2 linked regions of the Canis lupus familiaris genome follow. The protein of the gene in region 1 purifies or fractionates together with the protein of each later gene. This does not show direct contact. Links are inferred from orthologs where the notes say so. Each region holds a gene or a part of one and is shown on either strand. Other genes may lie near its edges.

Region 1 (7,761 bases):
TTTCTGGGGCCAGAAGAAAGTCCAGTAAAGTTATCACTCCCTCTCCATCATGGGTTTGCCAACAGTGCAGAAGTCAGCCAATTTGCTAAAGAGAAATCACAGGCAAGGAGACATCCTCAGTGCAAGGTGGGAAAAGCCTTACATTAGCAAAACAAAACAAAACAAAACAAAAAACCGACTAAATTACTCACACACTTAATCGAGTGGAACAGCTGGAATCTGCGTACCCCTCGATTCCTTCCTGGAACCCTGTTGTCAACACTGCAGACAGACCACACTTGGCCCTCAGAGGGACCGCTCTGCCCCCACAAGAAGCAGCTGACAGCCCTGCAGGGCCACAAAGAGTTTTCCTGCACAGTCACGTGGCTTACAGAATAGCCAGGATGTTCAGCTCTCAAAGACGGGACAGGAGAACCGACACATGATTACACTCCCTTCAATATAAACTGTGAGCCTTTGGGAAGGGTGTGAGTGAAGCAAGGTCTGACGAAGCTGGCGATCCAGGTGTTGTCCCATTTTTTTTCCAGAGTATGGGGAGCCTGGGCACCTCTGACTCTTGCTCAGCCTCGCATACATAGTCCGTAAGCTTAGTATCAGTACAAATAGGTAAGTAAGCGCAATTAAAAAATGAAGCCATGGGAAATCAAAGGCAACAATGTCATCAACAAAATTCAAAGTGCGTTTTCCCTTCGTTGTTGTTGTTGTTTAACAAGTAAAGCAGCACATTGTAGAAATAAAGATTCTGTACAATATTCTAATATCGTATGTACATAAAATTATATTACTTATAACTAAGTTGAGAAGTCTTATTTGCAGAATATGGCTGGCAACACCAAAGAGAGATCCAAGAACATTTATAGCTTTTGAAGCAGAGCAGGCAAGAGAACCAGAACCCTAGCAAGCACACCTTTGTGCCTGGACACGCAATCCTGCGGCAAAGTTAACGTGACTAGCGTTCTAGCATTCTCTGGGTCAGGGGTTTGTTTGTGTTTCACATTCGAGCAGGGAATTCTGCAGCAGGCGGTGTGAAAAGACATGTGCAAATGAAACTGGAAATGCTTTTTCGAATCTGCATATCTGGCTATGGGAATGGGTTTGTGAATCCAGCTTGCCCTGAAGTTAGCTCCTTAGCTCATCTTCCCTTCATTCATTATGCATGCCTCCAGGGATTTAAAATCTTTAAAATCGAAATGAGTTCCAGCAGACACACCAGTTGGTTCCTCACCTCATTCTTACCGGGGTGTCTTTCTTCCAACTTGTCTCCTTCACAGGCCATGTCCCCAAGCCAGGTGGAGCCCCAGCCCCACTCGCTGAGGGTAGGGTGTGGGACTCTGGCTCTTCGCTAGAAAAATCCTCTCCCTAAGGGAGCCCCAAACAGGAAGACTGCAGGCGCTGGTCGCTGGTCTGTGCCTCAGCTTCCAACAAAACCTAAAGTTAGTTCTCAGATTCCCTCGGAGCCACAGTCCTCTGTGGTGTCTACTGAAAATGCAAATGCTGGTCGCCCTCCCCGAGACTCAGCTTCAATTTTTAAGAGGGACAGCATCCAGAAACCTGTTTTTAAGAGGTACCCAGGCAGTGCTGACGAGAGGGATCCACAGATCAGCTTTGAGAAGACCTGGCTTAACTCATTGAGTACAGATCTATGAATTCCTTTCAGATACGCTTTAAAAACGGAAGATTTTAATGAAACATTTCATCGTACAGATTCTCTATCCATGTGTAACCAATGTATTCTTTTTGAAATGTGGGAGTGCTGGCCAAAACTCTCTGAGAGATGAGGATGAGGAGGGAGTTAAGTTACGTACCCTTGTCAGGGTGAGGGGCTGTTTCAGACTCCTGGGCTTGCTGATGTGAACAAGGCAAACCGCAAGCCCATTTCCTCACGCAGAAGCCCACTAAACTTGGCTTGAATTATTTATGAATTCAGAAATCAGAATCTAGCATCTGGGGAAAGATGCCACACAGCATATGATTTGGTATAAATCAGCAGTGCCTGACTATCCATTTCCCTCGAAGCAAGCTTTCGCTGCCGAAAAGCTAAGGTGTCAGCTCTCCCACTCACTCAAATCCTAGTAGATTAGCTCAGGCTATGGTTACTCCTCCCTGAACCTATTCAGAATTGAAATGATGAGACCCTAAAATAGTGCCCAGCAGGGCCAGTCCTCTCCCACCAGCTGAAAATGCTCCCAGTTTCGTGAATCATCGCTTTTAATCACATGATGATGAAAAGCAATTAACTGCAGATGGACAGCATTCTGGGTCGACTGCCATCCACAAAATGTAAAAAAGAAAAGTCTCAAATAGATGAAGAATCTCCTCTTGGCTCAAAGATCTCATTTCAAATCTAGAAAGATAGCAATAGGGCCTCCTACGTTCTACCTAACGGGAGATCCGTGCAAATGAGGCTGAATCACTGCTGCAGAAACAGACTGATTCCCTTGTGCGGGTGGGTGTGTTTCACCACTCTGTACCTGTGAAAACTAGCTGCTCTTCCAGGATCCTCAGCTTTCTCATCCCCAAACCTCAACCTCAATTTCCAACAGTTTTTCTGACTCCAGTGTGCCCTCGAAAATCCCTAATTATTTCTAGCCCTAGTTGTTCCCATCTTCCCTGCTGAAATTCAGGTGAGCAATGCTGAGGGTCAAGGACAAGGGGGAAAGGACAGTCAAGGGGTAGGGGGGAGGTCCGCAGATGCAGGTGAGCTTAGTCCAAGGGGGCAGGCGGCGGGGCGGGCCGGTTAGTAATTTAAGAAGTCAATCCCAACCTTGACACTCTTCGCGGTGGCTATATCGACGGCCGTGGCCTTGATCTCTGTGTCCCCAAACTGCATGAGGGTCTGGATCTCCCTCCGGGCGGGCACGGCCGTGCCGCTGGTCCCTGTGAGATCCAGGCGGAGCGTGCCACACTTCTTCACCCCCGGGTCGGTGATGAAGCTCACGTCGTCGCACTCGGAGCTGTATATGTTGATGACGATGACCAGCTGGGAAGGCTTGGCCGGGGTGTAGCTACGCTTCACCAGCTCCCCCAGGGCCACCGACTGGTCGGCAGAAATGAACTTATCAAACACATCGGTGCACCAGCGAGTCCCATCCTTCACCAGAAGCTTCTCAGGAGGATGCTTGCCCTCCACGTAGCGGTTCAGCACGCCCACCCCGTAGGTGAGCGGTGATCGGCGCACCTTGATGACCGCGGGGTCCAGGCCGAAGAGGACCGCGCCCTTGAGGATAGTGAGGCCCACGTCCTGGGGGATGATGATGCGGCACTTGTCACCAAAGGCGGCCTGAACTGCCTGCTGCAGGAGGGGCGCCTCTGCAAAGCCTCCCACCAGGAAGAGGAACTTGACAGTGGACACCTCGGGCTTCTGAAACAGATCCCCTGAAAACAAAGAGTAAGGGACAATATGCTGTCACCAAAAGCCACACCACCAAGGGAGACTGGTGGCCCAAGAGCGTGGGGAACACGGACCAAACCACTTGGGCCCGCTGCGGGGGCAGATGTGGCTATGCTGGTTGGACAGAATTTTTGTACAGCTGGTCTTTGAAAGAGAAGGTTTTGCACACTAATATGCGCAAGAAGTGAACACCAAAGCTCTTGGTCAGTAGAACTCATTTTTATAGCTAGATGGTGATGGTTTTCACTAGTAATTTGTTAGGCATAAATGAATAGTCCTAACCTTCTCCAAGCCTGTGGTCCTGTTAAATCAGTAAAGGCAGGCTGTTCTCAAAACTGTTCTTTAGTTTTCAAAGGGGTTCTGATGTGGGAGGTGTGGGGTGGGATGTGGATGGGGGGCCTGGATACTGCAAAAGGTGCCCAGTGAGTTTACTGTGGGTCCCCATGCACCAGCTAGTGATGCTAGAAAAGTCGGTCCCCTTTCTTGGCTCTGCCCTACTGAGTGGCTGAGCCCTGGCTGATACTTACGAAGATGCTCAATGATGCTGTCAATGGTTGGCTTAAAAAGGGCATTCATGGCATCTGGACTCATCCTCAGCATCCCTTGTGAGGACCACTTCACAAAATCCACACTGTGGGGGTGTGGCATGGAGAGAAACAGGTAGTGAGTGTGTGAATGATACTCAGGCTAATGTGTACAGACATGGGTGCTAGCAGAACAGCTGTCACATCGAAGGAACAGAAGGGTTTGAAAGTCCCTGGAAATATCCTCAACTGCCAGAACCTGGACCCTTAGACACTCAAAAGCCAAGACACAGCCTCTTCTGTTTCTCTTTGCTTTGTGCTGTGGCCAACCTTCCCTTGGAATGGCAGAAGCCAAAGTCTAGTGCAAAATATAGGGTGAGAATTAAAGGGATCTTTCTGGTTTGAATGTCCACATTTTTTAGTCGAGTGATAGTCAGATTTGAGTCCATTAATGAGTCCATTAAATGCTCATATGATGTGTCCACTGTGCTGTGGCCTATGGCTACAAGCCTGTGTGCTCAGGTGCCTTTTCGTAAGCCCTGTGGGCACCCGTCCCATGACAGTGACAGGCCTAATCCAACTAGGATGTCCCTTTCTCTGTCAAAGGTACAGAACATGCAAAGCAACAGCATGGAACAGAAAGAGCACTAGATGGGGAGTCAGGAGTGCCCGGCCCCAGGATGGTCTCTGTCCCTCAGAACCTGTGGAACTTTTGGGAAAGTTGAGCTGCAATTTCTCTGAGCCCCAGTCTCTTATCTGGAAATCAAAGATAATACAACTTGTCTTACCTCCCTCATTGGGGTTGTTGTGAAGATGAAGTTAAATACCACATTTGTGAAAACACTTTGGAAATGCCAGGGACTATTATTGCAGCCTGTACCCGCTCATTCTCAAGTTCAAAGACCAAACAAATGGCATCTGTCCTTGAAGCAAAGCATGTGCCAGCTGCTTCCTAGCATCACCTTCTAGATGCTTCCAGGTCTCCCTGACCAGGCAGTCTTTCTGTGGCCTCGGCCAAAGGACAATGTGGGATGGTATGGGATGATCCATGGGTTGGCTGTAGCCAGTCCCCCCAGAAGGAATGCTGACAGGCCCCAGACTGTGTGAGCAGGATTTGGGGTTCAGCTGGGAGCAAGCACCTCCATGGGAGGCCAGTGGACAGAGAGACCATGAGCCTAGAGTCTCATAAGAGTCCAGCCAGGACCCTGCTCCAAGGGCAAGAAGACCCAATATCCTATCTCCTTTATTTCCTGCTAAACAGAGCCCGGCTTCTTTTTTTTTTTTTTTTTTTTTTTAATTTTTATTTATTTATGATAGTCACATCAGAGAGAGAGAGAGAGAGAGAGAGGCAGAGACACAGGCAGAGGGAGAAGCAGGCAGGCTCCATGCACCGGAAGCCCGACGTGGGATTCGATCCCAGGTCTCCAGGATCGCGCCCTGGGCCAAAGGCAGGCGCTAAACCGCTGCGCCACCCAGGGATCCCCAGAGCCCGGCTTCTTAGAGAACTGGCCGATTGCAGGTCTGGGATGGGGAGCATACAAGATGAGCCAGGAGCATCTTCTCAAACCAGAAGTCAGACCACAATATCGTATCAATGGGACTCAGGAGCCAATTTGAAGAAGCTCCTCCTGGCCAAGACGGGACATTGTGATGATCAATAAGGATACAACTGCCATGGTTTAAAATACACCAAATATGCCTAAATCCATGAAGTCTGAAAGGTATCCCCACAAAAGGAAAAAAAGCATTTGTCACTTAGGAGAATGCTAGGAATTCCACAATTTTTTTTTTGTTGTTGTTGTTTTTTAACAAAAAATGTTTAAATGAAAGGAAAGAACCAAGCATTTGTCCTGTCTTCTCTATATGAACTGTACTTCAGTGGGCAACCAAACCACTTAGGAGAAGAGTTTCTCTCTCCAGAAGCATGCTAGCTAACAGATGCAGGAGGAGTGAGAGACGAAGAGGCCACCCATTAGCTTGGTGGGCCTAGGCAACAATGGCTAGCTAGCATCCCAAAAGAAGCAACCAGCAAATAGCATGTGCTCCCTGATGTGATGCAAAGGGAAATACTATCCCCTGCCCCCGCCACGAAGTAGGTTTGCCAAAAACTCAAACTTGCATCTGACCAAATCTCTAGCTCAGTCTGACAATTTATAAAAAATACCAGGGGACCAAACATGTTATGTGGGCATGCAATGAGCAAAAACCCCAGCCTATAGAAGTCTCTATGGGACAATCAGCTTTATCATCTAATAAACTAAAGAAAAAACAGGAGGGTGATCCTATATGTTAAGTGGGACGTAGAGGCATGCCAGAGCATTGCTATGAATAGCCATCTTTTAGATAGTAATGCAAACTGAAAAAAAATAAGACGATAGGAAAAATTTGAATGTTCCCTGGGTATATTTGAAGGATACTGAAGAATTGTTTTAAGTGTGATAGGAATAAGTGTCATGGTTTTGATTTTCAAATTATCTCCCTTAGAGATACACTGTTATATTTATGGATTAGATGATGATCAGATTTGCTTTAAAATGCTTGGGGAAGGGTACATGAGGATTTAGATTGGCCAGGAACTGACAGTTGTTGAAGCTGAATAATGAGATTCATTTGCCCAGTAAATGTTTGAAATTTTCCACTATAAAAAAGATTTTTAGAAACCTATGATTTTTGTCTATTAATTTTGTACTTCAGCTTTAAAATAGCTTCCAAATGTTCATTTTGCAACAAGCTGAACTACAAACACTTGCCTGCAGCCAAGAGACTCAGAGTAGCAGGAAACCCAGGATCCCACAGGATTCATTCAACAAATATTTACTGAGCACCTGCTATGTCCACACCAGATTCTATTGTAGATACGGAGGATATAGCAGAGGCCAAAACACACAAAATTCCCTGCTTTCATAAAGCTTATAATTATTAGCACATAATAAAAGCTAACACAAAAATAGTACTTTCCAGGTCCAAGGCATTGTGCTAAGTGCCTCACATATGAATTCACTTCATCCTCATGACAACCGTTTGAGGTAGGTGGAACCATCATCTTTGTTTTCTAGATGAAAAACTGAGAAACAGAGAAGTTGAGTCACTTGCCCAAGCACTTACATAGGATTGGAACTCAGAGTCCTCACCCCTTTCTTCCCTCCCATCAACATGAGCCACCCTCTAGAATGGCCTAAGCCCCTGGTGAGTCCAACTCACTTGCTCTTCCTCAAGGCATGCTCCACACTGTGTCCACGGAACTTCTTGTAGTAGTCAATGAAGGAGAAGGGCAGGGTGATGTTCAGTGGGTTAGTTCGGTCCGGAGCAGCTGCCCTTTTACGAGACTCAAATGCAATCATTAAGTCAACCCAGGCTGCAGGACGCTTGATTTTGAATTGTTCGATAAAATCCTCTCCAAATATTTTACACAGAAGTTTTTCAAATTCATAATCTACTCCTAAGGATCCGTAGGGTCCACCTGGGTCAAGAACAAAATGGGAGTCCACCATGTTAAAAACTGCCAGAAACTGAATCCAAACTCTGAGGAACAGCGTACCTGCTGTTCTTCCCTGAAATATGGAGTAGCTCAGCTTAGACCCAGTTAGCAAGCTGACTGTGGCTATAAATTTTTACTAACACTTTAAAATCCTTCAGTTCTTCTCCTCCCAGGTGGAGATACTTTCTCCTACAGAATCACCTGTCAACTAGCTGTTTAAAATCCATTACATTCTTTTTTTTTTTTTAAGATTTTAAAGTAATCTCTACACCCAACGTGGGGCTTGAACTCACAACCTCAAGATGGAGAGTTGCATGCTGCATGGACTGAGCCAGCCAGGGGCCCCATATCATCACTTTCATTTTAAA
Region 2 (8,474 bases), on another chromosome or scaffold:
AATCGAAGTCAAAACTGGAAGAGAAAAGTGAAGAGTCTGTAACTGGGTCTGGTGTAGAACATTCAGCTTCAGATGCAGAACCTGGGAAAGAAGAGTCTTGGGTTTCGATTAAGAAATTCATTCCCGGACGACGGAAGAAAAGGTCCGATGGGAAACCAGAACAAACCGCTGTGGAAGACGCAGGACCAGCAGAGGTCAATGAAGAGGATTCCGATGTCCCGGCCGTGGTTCCCCTGTCCGAGTATGATGCAGTAGAAAGGGAGAAAATCGAAGCCCAGCAGGCCCAAAAAAGTGAGGAGCAGCCTGAGCAGAAGGCCGCTGTTTCTGTGTCAGAGGAGCTCAGTACGGATCTGGTACGTGGGGTCACGGTGACTGTCCTTGACGGGGCAAGGGCTCTTACCAATGTGGAAGAAAGGTCGCCATCTTGGATATCCGCTTCGGTGACAGAGCCTCTTGACGAAACGGAAGATGAAGCCAAACCCCTAACCGAGGACGTGTTTGAAGGAGAAGTCCTTGCAGAGGAAACCTCTGTTACCAAACCTCTACCAGAGGGTCAAGATGCCATTGATGACACAGTCGTGAGTGAGGCGGAATTAACTTCGGAAGCTGTGACAGCCGCGGAAGCTACCGGGGCCCTTTGTGCTGAAGAAGCAGCAGAGGCATCTGGTGCTGAAGAGACCGCCGACATGGTGTCCGCTGTTTCTCAGCTAACGGACTCTCCAGACACCACAGAGGTAGCAACGCCTGTTCAGGAGGTGGAAGGTGGCGTACCACGCCTCGAAGACCAAGAGAGGCGGACTCAAGAGGTCCTGCAGGCAGTTGCAGAAAAAGTGAGAGAAGAATCACCACTGCCTGACACCAGAGGGCCAGAAGACACCACTCGGACAACGCGGGGAGTAGAAGCCGAGATACCAGAGAAGGTGGAGGAAGCGGAAGAGGATTCACAAAGGCAAGACCTGAAGAAAGAGACGGAGGTAGCGCTGGAAGAACGTGCACAAGAAACTAAACCTGAGACTTTGGCACAAGGGGAAGTAATCGTACAGGCCACCCCAGAAAGCTTGGAGAAAGTTCCTCAAGTCACAGACAGCGTGGAGTCCAGTGAGCTTAGAACCACTTGTCAAGCTGAAACCCTGGTTGGGGCAACATCAGAATCGATTCTGGAACAGGCTGTTGCCCCGGACTCAGCTGAAACCCTCACAGACAGCGAGACCAACGGGAGCACCCCAGTAGCTGATTTTGAAGCTCTCCATGTAACACAACCAGAGCAGATCCCGGGGATGCACGAAGGTCCTGAGGTTGCATCGGGCGCACCGCCCCAGGTCACAGAAGCAGAGGCAGTTCCTGCACCCGAAGAGGGGCCTCCAGCACCTTCTACTTTCCCATCCGAAGAAGAAGATAAAGGACATTCAAAAATGGAAGAGATTCTAGAACGCACGGACAAAGAGGTATCGGTGGAAGCTGTACCCACTCTTTCAAAGACCGACGTGATAGAAGAGGAAGGCCAGTTCGCCGATAGGGAAAGCAAAGACGAAGCTCTCGTCGACGGCCCTGATGTGACAGCGGCCCCTGAAACAACCATCAGTCAGGAAGAGACGAGTGACCTTGCCCTTCAAGATGAAGCTACTGAAGACCCCGAATTTCAGAAGAAGGAGGATGATACCGAAGTCCAGAGCCGTACACCCTCTCCCAGCCCGGTGGGGAGGGAGCTGGTAGTTCAAGTAGAAAAGGAGGAAATAGAAGCAAAGCCAACCCAAGCCACCGAAGAAGAACTTGAGCAAAAACCCACCGTGACCGTCTCTGAGGAGCTTAGCAAGGAACTGGTGCAGACAGTTAGGGTGGCCGTCATCGACGGGGAAAAGGAGGTTACCATTTGGGAAGAAAGTTGTCCGCAGCTAGTTGAAGAGGCAGCGGTATGCACAGAAGTCCAAGTGCAGAGCTCTGAACCGTTACCTCTAACAGCCGCAGTGGTGGAGGAGAAGGTCTTGGGAGAAGCTGTCAAGAGTGTAGATGCCAGTGAGACCCTGGAACCTGCGGGCGCACATTTAGCCCCAGAAGAAGAATCCTCCACAAAGGATGAAGGCCTGACGGCCCAGCCAGGGGCGGTCGAGGTGCCCACGGGGACTGAGGCTCGGCCGGAACCTGGACCGGGAACTGCCCCGGGAACTGCCCCGGGAACCGCATCAGCTGAGCCTGACGGAGGCACGAGCGCTGCCCCGGAAGGAGAGAAAACCACCCCCCAGAGACAGACCTCAGAGGAAGAGGACGGGCCGGCTGCTTGCCAGGAAGTCCCGGCAAGAGAGGAGGATCTAAAGGCTGAAAACGACCTCTCGAAACTTCAGACCGAGAGTAGTAAACTTGTACAGAATGTGATCCAGACAGTTGTTGGTCAGTTAGGAGGCGCGGAAGAAACAGCCGCGGACCTCCAGACCCAGGCTCAGCCGCTGACGGCGGACGGCCAGGAGGCCAGCTCGGAGGCCAGGCCGCACGTTGAGACGGAAGGAGGCGAGCTTCAGGCCTCTGCACCAGATGGAACCCACACTGTTGACGCCAAAGAAGAACCCCCACTAACCGCCGTGGAGCAGACCCCTTCTGAGGTTTCTGAAGCCTCGGAAGCTGTGAGTGAAGCTCCAGAAAAGATCACAGCCATCGAGGTAGAAAGTTCAAGCGTCCATGACCAGCAGCTTGAAGAGGCAGCTCTCCCATCTGAAGAAAAGAAAGAAACAGCCAGAACCGAGCCTGTCCCAGAAGATTGTGATGGTGCCGGGTCAGAAGGAAGGATAGAGGAGTCGCTCTTTGAATCCCAAGAAGATAAAAAAGGTGATGAGGTTGATGACCCTGAGAGCCACCACTCGTGCTCACCCCTGGAAGATTCTGAGGCCCCAGGAGACGTAAGCCAAGAGGCCCCGGACACGGATGGACCAACAGGCAAAAAGAAGGAAGGTGGCCAGGAAGTAGAATTCCAGGAAGCCAAAGTCCACAGCGAGCCAGAAGATGAGATTCAAACCCAAACACGGGACGAGACACAGAAACAAGAGGGAGAACCGGCCAAATCAGAACCCACAGGATCCTAATGCATCATGTAAGCAAGCTTCCTTTCCCCCTAAAGCAGTCTTTGCCTCTTTGTGGCCATTTGATGGCACATTCGTTCTAAGGGAAGCAGGAGTTTAATCCTTATGACTTTGTGCAGAACCTTGAGTTGAATAATAATCAAGGAGATCTAGGCTCCCTTCCTTTGTTCCCCTCTCACCGACGTGCCATTCAGTCTTACCTGTAGGAAAATAATGGCCTCGGTTCACCCCTATGTGACTGCTTTCAAGGAAAATCAGGGGGTGTGTATGTATGTGCGTGTGTGTGCATTTGTATGTTTGGCTCGAAGGCATAAGAAATATGTTGTGTTCCCAGCACCAGACTAACCAGTTTATTGAATTTTTCCCTATAACCAGAAGTCCAACATAAGTTTATATCCTACAGCTTGAAATTTTAGTTGATAGCTCTCTAGAAAAAAAAATTATCCCCCCATCAGCAGTAACAAGCATTTAAAAATTTCCCAGTGCGTGTGATGCGCCTGGATGTTGGTGCTGGGGAGCCACAGCTGCGGGTTTGGGGAGCGCCCAGCCTGACCTGCCGTGGGCCCTGACCCACTCACTTTCCCAGGGGCTGCACTCCTCTGTCAGGGCTTCTGCTGCTCCTGGAGTGAACGAAGAGGAGAGGAGACTTGATCAAATTTTGATTCTTGCTTCCTCCTACAGGTCCACCCTGAGTGTCTGCAAGACCGGAATGTGAAGACGAGTGGTAGGAGGAAATGGACGCTGCTGACGAGACTCGAGACCAGTGTTTCAGACTCAGAACCGAAGAACAGGCCCCTCGACTGACCTCCTTTCTGGAGCACCCTGACAACCCTGAGGCTGCATCGGGAGCTAGAGCCATTTAACGTTTCCTCTTCGCAGGGCCACCCCATTACTTTCCCTTGATACCCTTATTATAATGTTTCTGATTTAAGGTCCTAAATTCTTAACCTGGAACTGGAGTTGGCCAAACCTAGTTCTGCTTCTCAAACTGGAGTATCATCCTTTATGTATTTATATGTATGTTTTAAGTAACCCTTCCTGTATCTATTGTATATTTTTTTTTTCTTAACAATTAAGGAAATGTGCAGTTTTGTATCACACAGCACGTGGCGGGGGCATGCAGCCGTGGTCAAGCCTTGGGAAGCTCTAAGCCTCAGCTGTAACCTGTGAAAACAGCTTCCTGGAGACAACATTCCTGATCAGAAGCTATAGTTTGTACTTTAAAATCCACTAAGGAGTAGGTCTGTGTTTCATATCGCTCTAAAATTGGTCACTCTCCTATTATGCACAGTGTGCTAAAAATAAGCTTTTTTTGGGGGGGAACATACAGAATGTTCCATTGTTACTGTGAAATTTTTCTTTCTAGCTCAGTGGGGGTTGGAAGGGAGTTTTTTTCAGTAGCAGATTAACTTTTAAGCCTTTTCTCTGGATTGTGGTGGTTTGGACAGATGAGTGTGCTTAAATCCTGAGGCAAAGCAGTGAGAAATGTTTTTCATCTTATCAAGAAAACAATTTGGCTGTTTTTTAAGTTTTTGATTCTACTCTTCTATGCTGGACCACACTCACACGCAGCATGAAGTCAGTCAGGTTCTTGACAAATGGTATTTTGATAGGTACTGGATTGTATCTGTGCCATATTTGTGCCCACTCTTTTAAGGACAATGTTGCATTATGTTCATTTGGATAAACTGTGATTTGACAACTGATTTAAATAAAATATTTGCTTCACTTAGATTTGCTGGTTTTATTAGATACTAGGAAGCCTGGGGCGTGTCTCCTGAGTGCTAAAAGCAGGTAAAGTAGAAGTTTCTGGTGTAGTTGCCACATGATGTCACCACTTGATACCAGTTTGAGGTCATGTGCCGAGGAACTCCTAGCAGAGAGGCATCAGCTAAAATAAACCAAGGGCTTTGAGACTGACAGTACTGACACAGTGCCACCATCTGGTGGTGCGTCTTCCTGAAAAGGTCAATTTTCTTTTATTAGTTTCGGTCTTAAACAATGAAAGATGTCTAGAAAGAAATCTTAAGAAGGCTTAATGATAAAAATGCCTTACCTAACAGGTGCTTTTAGAATTTTTTTAAAATGTCAATGATTTATGATTCATGCTAAGATGTAAAAAGTTTTGTCAAATTGCCACAGTCGCCTGTGTACTCTATAGAGTTCCACTTTTTCACATGTAGAAATGGCGTGGCACATAAAGAAAGGTTTCTTAAATTGCACTGAAACGTAGAACTCTGGTGAGCAAACCCAAATTTCACCTGCTAGCTAATGATTTTAAAGCATCCTAGATGTTCTAGAAACACTAGTTTAGCAGAAGGAAAATAGGCTGTTAAAATCAGAAAGTAGTTGATGTTATATCAACAAACCTGACAACTAAAATGGCAATATTAGACATCTCATGATAACAGTGTATGGCCTTGTAGTTGGAAAATGTTTAATAACCCTTTAGGAGTTACTCTCATATGTAACAGTCATCCAAGCTTATTAAGCTTTAAAATCCCCAAATTAAAAAAAAAAAAAACACAACCCTGATCTAAGTATCTTTTACCAACTGGAGACTTAAAAATTAATCCAAGTGCTGGTGTCAATTTTCGAAGACCAACCAGGAGATAGTAGAGATGAGAGGAATGTCTAAGGGGCTCCTGACAGGTCCAAACACCTACTTCGTCTCTATGGCCCAAGGAGGCTTTGCCTTGAAGAGATTACAGATTCATATAGTCAAGTGATAGATGAAATTTTTTTTGTTTTTGTGTTTTGTTTTTTGTTTGTTTAAACCCCATCCTGCCATTCCACTCTGTATTTTCTGTTCTCTGACCACATGTGGCCAAGTTATCCTGGCCATTGCAAGTGAATTTCCAGCAGTCGTTGCTTCGTGACTGTGCTTTTCATACTCCTACCTGGATGTGCCCTGGGTTCCTTCTGTACGAGCTCTATACCAATGTCTGTTGAGCAACTTTTATTAACCAGAGGAATGCAATTAACAGTAGCATGAAATAGAATACTGTAGTATAATTCTAAAGCTGCTGTTAATACATAATAGCCAAGTGTAAACTGCAAAAGTTCGAACAAGTGCCTATATTTTGCTATTTTTGGCATTACTGTAGAGCCATGTACAATAGAAAGCAATGCAAGACTTGTAAACTTCTCACCTCTTCTTGTAATCGAGGAATACCAAATGCTCCCCCTCAGGTTATTTTGCTAATGGTACACATAAGTTGCCTCTCTCTGTTACAAATACTGTGTTCCAATATTTTACTTTGGTGTTTGGAGCTACAAATAGTCAAGGGCTGGAAATTTTAGCTTTCAGTAAGCTTCAAGCCTAGCCATTTCTTTTTAATCTGAGACAATATTTGATTCCTAGTTCTGTTTGGGGGTGAATTTTCATTTATCTAAATAAAATGCAATGCAATTAAATACCATGGATTTTCTTTCTGTAATTTCACCTTAATTCAATTTTGATTGCTTTTCTCAATACTGTCCTGATACTCATCACACAATTTAACTTCTACTTTTAATTACTTACCCGTCCTTTGCAACATTTTCCACAAATCATCGTGGGAGTTTGGAATGTATCGGGGATGTGTGTAAATGCACAAGATGCTATCAGCGATTCATAACTGTTTGGGGCCAAGGGCCCCTTTAGTTAGAATCTCATTAAGCCTCTGGCTGACCTCCAACTCCCCAAAATACAGCTTTTGGGTAGTCCCACTTACCTCCCCTGAAATCCCAACCAGTAACTAGAACCAGAGTTAGAAACCCCTTCCCCAACTCTACCATAAAGGAAATGGGCCCCACCCCCAAGGGCTCCAGGTGGTGAGAGGATGGGAACCAAGCACCCAACCGGTGTCTGTAACTTCAAGTCTACCTGCCTATTCATTTCTAATTTGATTCTGGGATTGGATTTGTTAGACATCCTGGCACAGTCTTGTGTAAACGCAGATTTCTCCTCCCCGCTAAATTCCTTACCATCGCCAGCCTGTGTCACTGGAAGTGAGCTGGGGATCTGGTCTTAACCCACAGGAGAAAGCTGAGGTTTAGATCACCAGCTTTTAAGTCACTTAAGGTTTTTTGTTGCTATTGTTCTTTTTAACCTTTATGGTTTTGGCTAAGGTGACCAGGACTTGGGATGGCATGGTGGTGAAGATAGTCATGACTTCTTTTGATGCTGGCTTAGAAATCAACCCTACTTTTTTGATATCTAACTATAAAAGACATTGTGACAGTGCCATACCTCCAGTTATGAGTGAGTGATCTCATAACTCTGCATATGCTTCCATTGCTTGTTGACATTAAAAATTCTAACACAAGAAGTATTACATTAACCTCGTAAGAGCAGCTTCAGGGGCACCTGGAGGGCTCAGTCGGTTAAGCATCTGCCTTCGGCTCAGGTCATGATCTCAGGAGCCCCAAGTCAGGCTCCCTGCTCAGCAGGGAGTCTGCTTCTCCCTCTCCTTCTGCTCCCCACCTTGCTCGTGTACACTCTCTCAAACCTTAAAAAAGCAGCTTCACTGTAACACGTGATATTAAAGTCATGGCCATTTGGCTGCCAAGCCTTGCGTGAGCTCAAGAGAATGGGAGGTAGAATCAACAGGGCGACGCCTTATTATCTGTCATGGGAACTCAGTGGGTTGAAGGAGGAAGCTTCTGGGTTACCAGCCTGCATATGGAGCCAAACCCTGACCTAGGCGGGGGCCAGGAGACAGTGGTTAGTTTGGGCAATGTTCAGTGAGGTCAATGAGTTATCGAAGGGCAAAAGCAGGATTGGTAGCTGGATATGTGTCAAAAGAGTTGAGAACAATGAGACAGCAATGGCTCTTCTGTTCTCTGTCCTTGGAGACCCAGAGGGGGAAATAACCTACACGGATCCTGCAATGTGTCTTAAAAGCTCAACACAAACTTTGGTTGGGTGACTGAGCGAGACGAGGCTTTAGTTACTTGTCACAGCAGAGTCATTTCAGAACATAGAACTACATGCTTCACGAGTCTTTCCTGTTGCGAATGTGCTTTTAGAAACTAGAAAGCAAAATGCATCGTGATGCATTCATATTAGTCATTAGAAGAGAAATTTTTGAAAAAATATCCATGAGAGAGGCAGAGACAGAGGTGGGGGAGAAGCAGGCTCCATGCAGGGAGCCCAACATGGGACTCCATCCCGGGTCTCCAGGATCACACCCCAGGCCAAAGGCAGGTGCTAAACTGCTGAGCCACCCAGTGATCCCTAGAAGAGAAATTTTAATAAGACTGTCCACCAGAGGCAACATCGTGACTGCTAATGATGGCTGTCTCCTTGAAGATTTTGATAAACTCAGAATAAAGACACTGATCTTTCTACAATGTTATGAATATATACATCTTATTCAGACATGCTCTGTTTTAGACATGAAACATCCACTTGGGTGTCAT

What was found. The genes of interacting proteins can lie anywhere in the genome.
Region 2: the proteins of HSPA12A (region 1) and AKAP12 purify together in Homo sapiens (affinity purification with mass spectrometry; 3 studies listed by BioGRID and IntAct, with this or other methods). This does not show direct contact. The link is inferred for Canis lupus familiaris from reciprocal best matches to the Homo sapiens genes HSPA12A and AKAP12.

The regions. Positions count from the first base shown.
Region 1 is NC_049249.1:27,532,392-27,540,152, forward strand, and holds part of HSPA12A (heat shock 70 kDa protein 12A), read right to left. Parts: intron 7,376-7,761; coding exon 7,117-7,375; intron 4,023-7,116; coding exon 3,919-4,022; intron 3,376-3,918; coding exon 2,738-3,375; 3' UTR 1-2,737. UniProt on the Homo sapiens protein: Adapter protein for SORL1, but not SORT1. Delays SORL1 internalization and affects SORL1 subcellular localization.
Region 2 is NC_049222.1:42,114,816-42,123,289, forward strand, and holds the end of AKAP12 (A-kinase anchor protein 12), read left to right. Parts: coding exon 1-3,071; 3' UTR 3,072-3,079; intron 3,080-3,749; 3' UTR 3,750-6,485; downstream 6,486-8,474. UniProt on the Homo sapiens protein: Anchoring protein that mediates the subcellular compartmentation of protein kinase A (PKA) and protein kinase C (PKC).